Linked DNA regions of Canis lupus familiaris. Each later gene encodes a partner of the first gene's protein in a complex. Links are inferred from orthologs where the notes say so. Each region holds a gene or a part of one and is shown on either strand. Other genes may lie near its edges.

Region 1 (4,498 bases):
TCAGTGGTTGAGCATCTGCCTTTGGCTCAGGGCACGATGGGGGATCGAGTCCCACATCGGGCTCTCTGCTCTGCCTCTCTCTTTCTATGTCTCTCATGAATAAATAAATACAATCTTAAAACAAAAAATAAATTACAGAAGTTCAGAATGTTCTAGGCAATGACAGTCAATTACCATTAAGTAAGAGAATACTAATTATTTGCTATATATTTCCCAAATAGTACTTTTCAGAGTTCTTTGGCATGAGAACTTGTTTTCAGTATAAAGTCCTACACGAAATTCTTAGTTAGTAAAATAGATAAAAACTCTAGTTTACTGGTATAAATGTGGGTGTGATTATGATGTACAAAATTCACTTATAAAATTAATTAATAAAGAAGAATTATATTTGGCACAAAAATTTGAAAACAGGATTTGAAGGACAGTTAAAACTTTAGAAACTAATTTACTTCTGTTTTATTCTTTGGTTTCATGATGTGAAGAAAATCCTAACATACAGATAAGTAAGTGTAAATGGTGATTTTTTTTGAAAAAGATTTTATCTATTTATTCATGAGACACACACACAGAGAGAGAGAGAGAGAGAGAGAGAGGCAGAGACACAGGCAGAGGGAGAAGCAGGCTCCACTCAGAGCCCAACACGGGACTCGGTCCCAGGACTCGATCCCGGGACTCGATCCTGGGACTCCAGGACGACGCCCTGGGCCAAAGGCAGGCGCCAAACCGCCGAGCCACCCAGGGATCCCCTGATTTTTCTTTCTTAAACAGCTTGCTTGGAAGTTTCAGGATACAGTTTCATTAAATAGAAATGACAAAGGCTTAATTTCAAGGTCTGTGTAAAAGGAGTTTAAGCACAAATTATCACCCTGGTGGCCTCTAGAATTTCAAAATTTGGTGAATGACACATTTTAACAAATTTGTTGGAAACAAATTAGAAAAATTAATAAAATTTGAATTAAGTATTTTAAAAAAGATTTTATTTATTTATTCATGAGAGATGGAGAGAGAGAGAGGCAGAGACAGGCAGAGGGAGAAGCAGGCTCCATGTGGGGAACCCAACGTGGGACTTGATCCCAGGACTCCAGGATCATGCCCCGAGCTAAAGGCAGGTGTTAAACCGCTAAGCCACCAGAGATCCCCTTATATATTTGTTAACATTCTAAAGAATTCCTGAAATATCTTCTTCAGCTATAACTTGCAAACCCTACTCTAGTAAGGAAATGAAGCACCCATAATCAGCGCCTTAAATTTTAGTAGAAGAGGCTCTTATTAAATTGCTTCAGAGATATTTAAAACTCTTTAAAAAACTTTGCTGTTGCGAACACTTTACTTCCTAGGAAAAGGCAAGTTCCCCAAGCTGTCTCTAGAATTAATGAAAAGCGCTAAATATGCTAATAACCAGGTTTTAAAATATGAAAATTAACTTAAAAAATTCTACTCATCAAAAAAAAAAATTCTACTCATCAAATTACACTGGACTCAGATTATGGTTTAGTCCATCACTCTTCCAAAGAGTAGAGAACTTTTATGTTATTTAAACATTTCTACTTCTGAAAAACACATGGAAAATATTTCTAATGTGTCCTTAAAGTCTTTAAAAGTAGAAGAAATACTTAAACACTAGCCAATGTTTTTTAAGCCCATCATGTATTTGGTCCTCCCCAAAATCTTAAAAAAAAAAAAAGTCTTTAGAAGCAAAAATTCAATAGACCACATTCACTGATCACAGTGTGATGAAATAAGGAAGTTACAACAAAACAGGAATAGAAGAACAAGGAGGAGGAGAAGGAAGGAAAACAAGGAAAGAGAAAAGATAAAGGAAGGAAAAGAATTGAGAATTTTAGAATATCTTTGTGAAATGTGTCAGAGAAGAGCTCAAAACTGAAATTAGGTAGATTTCACTGTGAGGATGACTTGTTGACCCTGCTGATATGGGCAGTTAGCAAGCATTTTTTTTTCTCTTCTGAAGATACTGGTGGGTACATAGGAGTTAATCACAATGAAGTTAAGGACCCTCTAAGATCAGGCATCTAGTTCCTGCCTCTCCTGATTCTTTTTTTTCTCTTTTAAAGATTTATTTACCCATGAGAGACACAGAGAGCTGCCTCTCCTGATTCTGCCCTGCAGTCAGAATCTCAGCCTTTCTCCTCCTCATATTTATTTATTTATTTATTTATTTATTTATTTATTTATTTATTTATTTATTTTACCTTTTTTTTTTTTTTTTTTTTTTTTTAAAAGCCATTGGGAGCCTTAGCTATACTAACCCAGATCCAAAGACCTTAGTGGCAGAAAGGACTTGGTCAGTCAGTGTCACTGGAGTCATAGTAGACCTGGGACTCCTAAGCTTCAAGTCACAACATACTGGTCTAAACACAAATTCCCTCTTGCACCTTGTACCCCACCCCATGAACAGCCAGCAGTTGCATTGCGAAAGGAAGGGGCATGGGACCTGCTTACCTGGGCCAATCGCTTTGTCAAGCTCCTCTGCCAGGAGGTTCTGGTTGATGGCCCTCAGGACTTGCAGGGTCAGCCGCACGGCATTCTCTTCCCCGTAGTGGTTGATCATCAGATTGGCCAGCTTCACTGGCTTGGCATTCTGGACCTGGCCCCGGGGGATCCGGGAGTGATCCTTCTCCACGCTGGTGTTCTGCAGCTTAAACTTGAACTTCTCAAAGTCATTGGGCAGCAGCTCCTCCAGGGAGTCCAGCAGATGATCACTGGGGGTTTTGATCATGGTGTTGACCAGGAAAGGCTGGAGCCAGCAGTCTGAAACAGCCTCTGTCTTGGAACCCAGAGGGTGGGTAAAAAAGAAGCCACTTGTGAAATAGCGGAAAAGCACAGGAAATGCTCTCTGCACTCTGGCGAGAACTGAGCTATGAGTGTCATCGTTTGTTTGTTTCCAGTGATGACTCTTGTGTTCTCTTTCTCACAGATTTGGAGGCCTTCACAGCTAGGAGGGTTCAAGGCCTTGCCAGCCATGTGTTCCTATAGTGCCCCAGCCCTCACCTTCCCATACTGGCCTGTAGAGCAGTGCGTAAGTATGTGAGGGAGGGCCTGGGGCTGGATTCCAGGGTCTCGATCCTGGGAAGGCACTCAGATGCCTCTGTCTCTCCTTCTCCCGGGATATGGGTGTGGGGAGCAGGAACAAAGCCCCTGGTCCCATGCTGCAGAGGACCGTAATGAGAGTCAGTCTTTTTGACCAATCGTTTTCCTCCAGACTCAGGATTTTATGGACCCTCCAGAGCAAATGATGAGGGTTGCGGGGGGCAACAAGTGCAGCCCTGCAAGTTTTGCCCTTCTCTGCCCAAGAAGGAGGTGAAGCCGGAGGGCACTGCCAGGCCACCAGCCTTGGTGTCACCCCTATTGATGTCATTCCAGTTGTCTGGTGCTTTCAGCATCACAAAGGCCTCAAATGCTGTGTGTGGAACTGTCATCCTGATTTGTTTGTTCCCTACTCTGCCCTGGCTTCCCGAGAGCATCCCCATGAGGGAGGGTGCTTGTCCATGCACTTTTATTGAACAAGTTTTTTGTTTGTTTGTTTTTTGTGTTTAAAGTAAGCCCCATGCTCAGTGTGAGGCTTGAACTCAGAACCCCAAGAACAAGGGGTCACATGCTCTACTGACTGGCCAGCCAGGTGCCCCTGAACACATATTTTAGACGCCATGCCAGGATGCTGGAGAAACAAGGGTGAAAAAAGGAATAGGTGTCCTTTGGAGCTCATGTCCCAGTGTGGTCTCCAGAAGTTGCTCCAGAGCTAATGGAAGTGGTACGTGGGGTAAGTGGACTTCTTCCACAATTGACAGCTTCTGTCTTTCTGTATACCCTGATTTTTATCCCCGGCTTTTTTTGTTTTGAAAAAACACTACTTTTAGTTGCCACATCTCTATAGTCTGATTCTGCTAGAACACTTTCACACTTTCCAGCCTTTTAAAATTCTGTCAAGACAATGTATTTGAAAAGTCCATTCCAAGCAAAATGTCCCTTAATTAATTAAGATTTCCTCATTATTAGACTGAAGGTACTTTCAGGCATCCTCAAGATGTCTCCATTGTAAAAGGACATTTTTTTCTTTGTGACTAGTAAGTGACCTGAGCATGTGGAAATGTCTTGTTCTCCCACAATCTTTCACCTCATGATTTTAGCATTCATTGATAATCCTTTCCGATATCAATTGCTACAATGATACTTGAAAAATGGTGATATTTCTGGCACTTAGCTGGCATCACTTATGTGTCCTGGCTTAAGCTTTCTGCATTTCTCATGAAGTTTTTGGCTTTGTGGATGTTTTGTCGGTAACACAATGGTGCTTACTCTGTGCCTGGCACAGCTTGCTTTATATCCATTGTCTCCTGAAATCTCTGCAGCACCCCTTCAGGGCAAGATTCATCATCCTCACTTACATCCAGGATTAGTGGTTTAGTGACTTGCTCAGTGACTGAGCCAGGATTCAAACTCCCTCTTTTAACCATTTTGGAATATTGCCTACATGCATGAT
Region 2 (4,599 bases), on another chromosome or scaffold:
AACCGAGGCTCAGAGAGGTGGTGACACAGAGCTAGGGAAGGGGCAGGGCTGCCCTGAAGAGGAAGGCAAGGCAGCACGTGTCCAGGTGGCACCTCCCAGGGGCCCTTGGCCTTCCCGGCTAGTGGTTCCTGCTGCGGGCTCCGAGGCCAGGGGACAAGCCCCAGATGGCTTCAGGATGGGGGGGGAGCTGCGGACTGGGGAGTGAGGGGGGCAGAAAGGGGCCATCCAGAACTGTCCAGACAGACACCTGCCATGAGGGTGCCCGCCCGCTGGTCCTTCCAGAAAGGATCTGCGCCTCGGGATTAAGCTCAGGCTGAGCTGCAAGCCTACCTGGCACCTGGGTCAAAGCCAGGGCCTCATCCCCCCCAACCCTAAGAGGTCAGCAGCGAGCAGGGAAGGAGACAAGGAACCAGGGTCAGAGAGGTCAGGAGGGAGGGCAGGGCGGGGATGGGCGAGGTCCCCTCCCTCAGAGAGGCGGCCCAGCCCAGTCGGTGAGCGGTGGTGTCCCCTGGCAGCCAGTCCCAGCTCGCGCCCCCCAGCCTCTGCGGGGTCTCCGCCCACCCCACCCGGCGCGCCTCCCAGTCTCCCCAGCAGCCACCCCCACCCCCGTTACCCCGCATTTAAAATTGATATCACAGGGAGAAACACGTTTTCTCAGCTTTATATGAAAGAGAAACGAAGTGGTTTCCTGCTGCTCCCGAGCTGTGGGCCCGGCGGCCTGGCGAGCGGATGCACTGGGACCTCACCTGGGACCCCACCTGGGACCCCACCTGGGACCCCTCAGGGGCTCGGCTGTGAGCGGCCTGGGTGCTGACCCGGCGGACTGGGTGCACACCTGCCCCCCTTGCTCTGCAAACACTGCTCCACACCTGCCGGCCCCTCCCCTGGCCCAAGGGCGCGGGCAAAGTCCTCCGAGGCCCTGGGACCCCGAGCCCGGGGAGTTGCAGGGCTGCGTCCAGGACCCTCACGGCTGCCTGGCCCGAAGCCCTTCCACCGCGGCGGGCCCCGGTGTCCCCTCCTGAACGGCAGCTCTGAGCACCCCCCCCACCCCCCTGGGGTCGTGGCTCCTAGAGACCAGGTGGACCGGGCAGGTGCCTCTTCCAAGTGTGTGGGTGCCCCGCTGTGCTCACGGCTGGAGCTGGCACTTGCTGGGGGAGGGTCTGGTCAGGCTGTCCAACTGGATTATCCCCCTCCGCCCTCTCCAGGACCTCCTGACATAGCTCCTTTTATTAGCACCATTGTACAGATAAGGAAACTGAGGCGCAGACATGTTAAAGAACTTGCCCAAAGTCACGCAGCCAGCAAATTGTGGGCTGAGTTAGAACCCAGTTTTGGCCAAGTGCCTGCACCAACCTAAGCCTCAGTTTCCCCCCCACCGAGAGAAGTCCTAGCCCCGACCTCGTAGGAGAGTCAGAGGGGCATTCAAGATCGGAAAGCACACAGTAGGTGCTCACTAAAAGCAGCTGTCATGTTGACACACACAATGGTTGCAAGGCCTCAGCACCCCCACCCCTCGGGGGATCTCAGCCTGTGTGGGGAGTGAGGGTGGGCAGCGGTGGGTACCCAGAAGGTCAGGGAAGTCCCATGGGTCCAGAGAATGCTCCTTCCTACCAACACATAGTCAGGGGCCTTGCTCAACAAGTCTGCTTTCAATTTTGTTTCTCTCTGAGGCCACGCACAGGAGTTTCGTTTTCTGTTTCTCCCGAAAGCTGGTCAGGTCAGGCTGACGAGGCCTGTTTCTAGAGTGTGAACAGCAAACACCCACCGGCTGCCGCCTCCTCTCACAGCTGCCAGAGTCCAGCCGGGCAAGGGCTCGCTGCCTGCACCAGCCCATCCCCTCCACGCCGCGGGCAGAGCAGGGGCCGCGGCTCCAGGCCTCCAGCCGCTGCCGCCGGGATGGCCCAGGCTCCGGGCGACCCTGATGAGAGAGGTACTTCTTCCTCCCAAGGAACAGCAGGTGCTCCCGGGGGGGGGGGGGGGTGCACCTCTGCCCAGCTCCTTTCCTGGGCTAGCTGACAGCAGTGATGGCCTGCGGGGTCCCCAAGAGGGGCCCCGAGAGTAGAGGGGAGCCCAGGGCCTGGTGGGGAAGGCAGGCTCTGCCTGGGCACCTGCCAACACCCTCTGCACGCCTTTTAGAAGACCTTGGCGGGCAGCAGGGGGGACACACGTGATGCTGTTTCCATTTTATACATGAGATTCCTCAGGCCCTGCGAGGGGGACCCGGGGCCTCGCAGCTGATGCTGGGGTCCGAACACCTGTCCTCACACTCATTTTAAGAAATAAGAGAAGCTGCTTTGCTTCACTCCCGGACGAATAACCCATAAAAGTGAGCCGTGTATGGGGCCAGGGCTGTGTATTCTAGAGAGCCTGTGGGCTGTGGGCCACATGTGTGGGCTGTGGGTTGACGATGGCTCTGATTTGGGGATTTTTGGTTTTGCTATCACTAGCTGGTTTACTACTCACTATAATCTTTGAGATAGCTGCTCCGATCCCCACTTCACAGATGGAAAAAGTGTGGCACGGAGAGGTCACATAGCCGGTGGATGGCAAGGGCGGGGGCTCAAACCCAGGAGAGGTGCCGTCAGAGGACAGAAAATAAGTCAAGGGGTGGCCTGGGGAGGGGTGCCATCGGGGTGCGCCCAGGGCCTGGGCAGTTTCCCCGGTTTCTCTTCTGCTTCTCCAAGGGGGAGGTGCAAGTACTTGTTGCTCAGTGCCTGAATTTAACTTCTCCCTCTGAGGTTTTCCTCTCCAACCTGTCACTTACACGTCGTCCAGTTTACAACTTCCCATTTACAGACGCATCAGCCTGAAGACTCGGCGCGCGAGGCCAGCCAGCCCTATGGGCTTGGCCCTCACTCTGGTCTCTGAGGCACGACCCCTCTGCTCCTTTGGGGTCGGTGGGGGGGGGGAATGGAGGAGGAGGGAGGGGAAGGCTCACCCGTGGGCAGGCTTTTCAAGAACCAGAACTCTTTTCAAGAGGAGGCAAGCCAGGCTTGCAGTTGATTGGATGGGGATCCCCGGCTGCTGGGGGTGAAGGAGTAGATGCCCCCAGGCGTCCTAACTGCACTTCACCTGCACCCAGCAAGGATGAACATGTCCTGATCATAGGGCAAGCCTCAGAGCCCAGCTGCAGAACCAGCAAATAAATGCCTTATCCCTTCCCCCACTAAGGGAAAACCCAGAAGGCAAAGGATCAGGCTGCTGTCCCACCAGGTGCCCCAAGTCTTCCCTAGAAGGGCCCCACTTTGCATTTCCCTCTGGGCTCTTGGGGACAGACATTTCCTGGTAAGAGGCCGGGCTGCCGGGGGGGGGGGGGGGGGGGGGCCCTCCAGCTCCTCAGGCACTGTCTGTGCCCTGTTCTCCGCTCCCCAAAGAGCTGCTGGCTTGGATTTGTGGGATCCTGTCTGATTGGAACGGAGGCGTTCAGAGAGCTCCTGGGATTCTGCTTAGGGTCATTAACCTCAGGTGGAGAATTAGAGACCTAGTTGCTGTCCACGCCCTGCCCTGGGTCGTCTGGGCTGACACCTGTCCCAGTGGTGAGCAGATCCACTCAGACACTCATTCATTCAAATGCTGTTTCCTGATCGTCTACTGTGTACCCAGCACTGAGTTAGACACCAAAGATACTACAGTGCACCAGGCAATCACAGCAGGGGAGCTTGGAGACATTCTGCAGCCCCCCCTCACACACAGGGCACCCCGATCACTCAGGGCACCTAGGATGGCTCCCCAAGAGAGATGGTGTTTGAGTGAGGTGTTGGGCAGGTGGAGGTTGAGGGTTGAGTAGGTGTTGGGCAGGTGGAGGTGGGGGGGGAGAGTGTTCCTGATGGAGGGAACAGTGTGTGCAAAGGCCCAGGAGTGAGTGGGCTGGAAGGAGCACACGGCTGGCTGGTGCTCGGAGGGAGGCTCTGGCTGCCGAGTGGAGGGTGGGCTGGAGGGATCCCGACTGCAGTCGGGGGAATAGCTGTGGTCACGGAGGTGGTGTACGGGGGGAGGCACAGAGGGGAGAAGATGGGATCCCAGAGAGCCAGGCACCATGTTCTCAGGACTCTCCATAACCCGGCAGCAGGGAGGAGGGCCTGTTTCTGAGCATCTTTAGCTTTCTGGCTTGGATGGATAGATGCACCACTGGCGTGGACGGTGAGCCCCCGAGGAGGGGCAGGTGCTGCAGGGAGGCGGGGACCACAGGCCTCCCTCGCAGCCACTTGGCCTCCTCCCTCCCTCCCTCCCTCCCTCCCTCCCCTTGCTCTCCTGCACTCAATCTACCCCACGCTGCCACCCTCCGCTCCCTTCTGCTCTGGGACATCTGAGGCCTGAGCATCCCCACCTCACCCTCAAGCGCTCACACCAGGCCGAGGATGCTCGGGAGGCTGGGGCACCTCCTCTGGTCACCAAGGTCATTTCTGACCAGCATATGTGTCCCTCCCTGGACAGCCGTGTTGTTAGCGTCTGCTCGGGTCTCTGCCCCTCCCTCTGGCCTGGACCCCTCACGCGGGGACACCTCCCTGCCTCCGAGTCCCCGCTCCAGGCTCGATCCAGGGGAGAATCAGTCCCCTCTCCGCCACTCTCTCCTCCTCCCAGACCTCGAGCAGAGGATCC

The links.
Region 2: MEFV (region 1) and ZBP1 share a complex: the UniProt entries of both Homo sapiens proteins name them as parts of the AIM2 PANoptosome complex. The link is inferred for Canis lupus familiaris from reciprocal best matches to the Homo sapiens genes MEFV and ZBP1.

The regions. Positions count from the first base shown.
Region 1 is NC_049227.1:38,414,928-38,419,425, reverse strand, and holds the start of MEFV (pyrin), read right to left. Parts: upstream 2,820-4,498; 5' UTR 2,738-2,819; coding exon 2,461-2,737; intron 1-2,460. UniProt on the Homo sapiens protein: Involved in the regulation of innate immunity and the inflammatory response in response to IFNG/IFN-gamma.
Region 2 is NC_049245.1:43,334,546-43,339,144, reverse strand, and holds the start of ZBP1 (Z-DNA-binding protein 1), read left to right. Parts: upstream 1-1,682; 5' UTR 1,683-1,896; coding exon 1,897-1,957; intron 1,958-4,581; coding exon 4,582-4,599.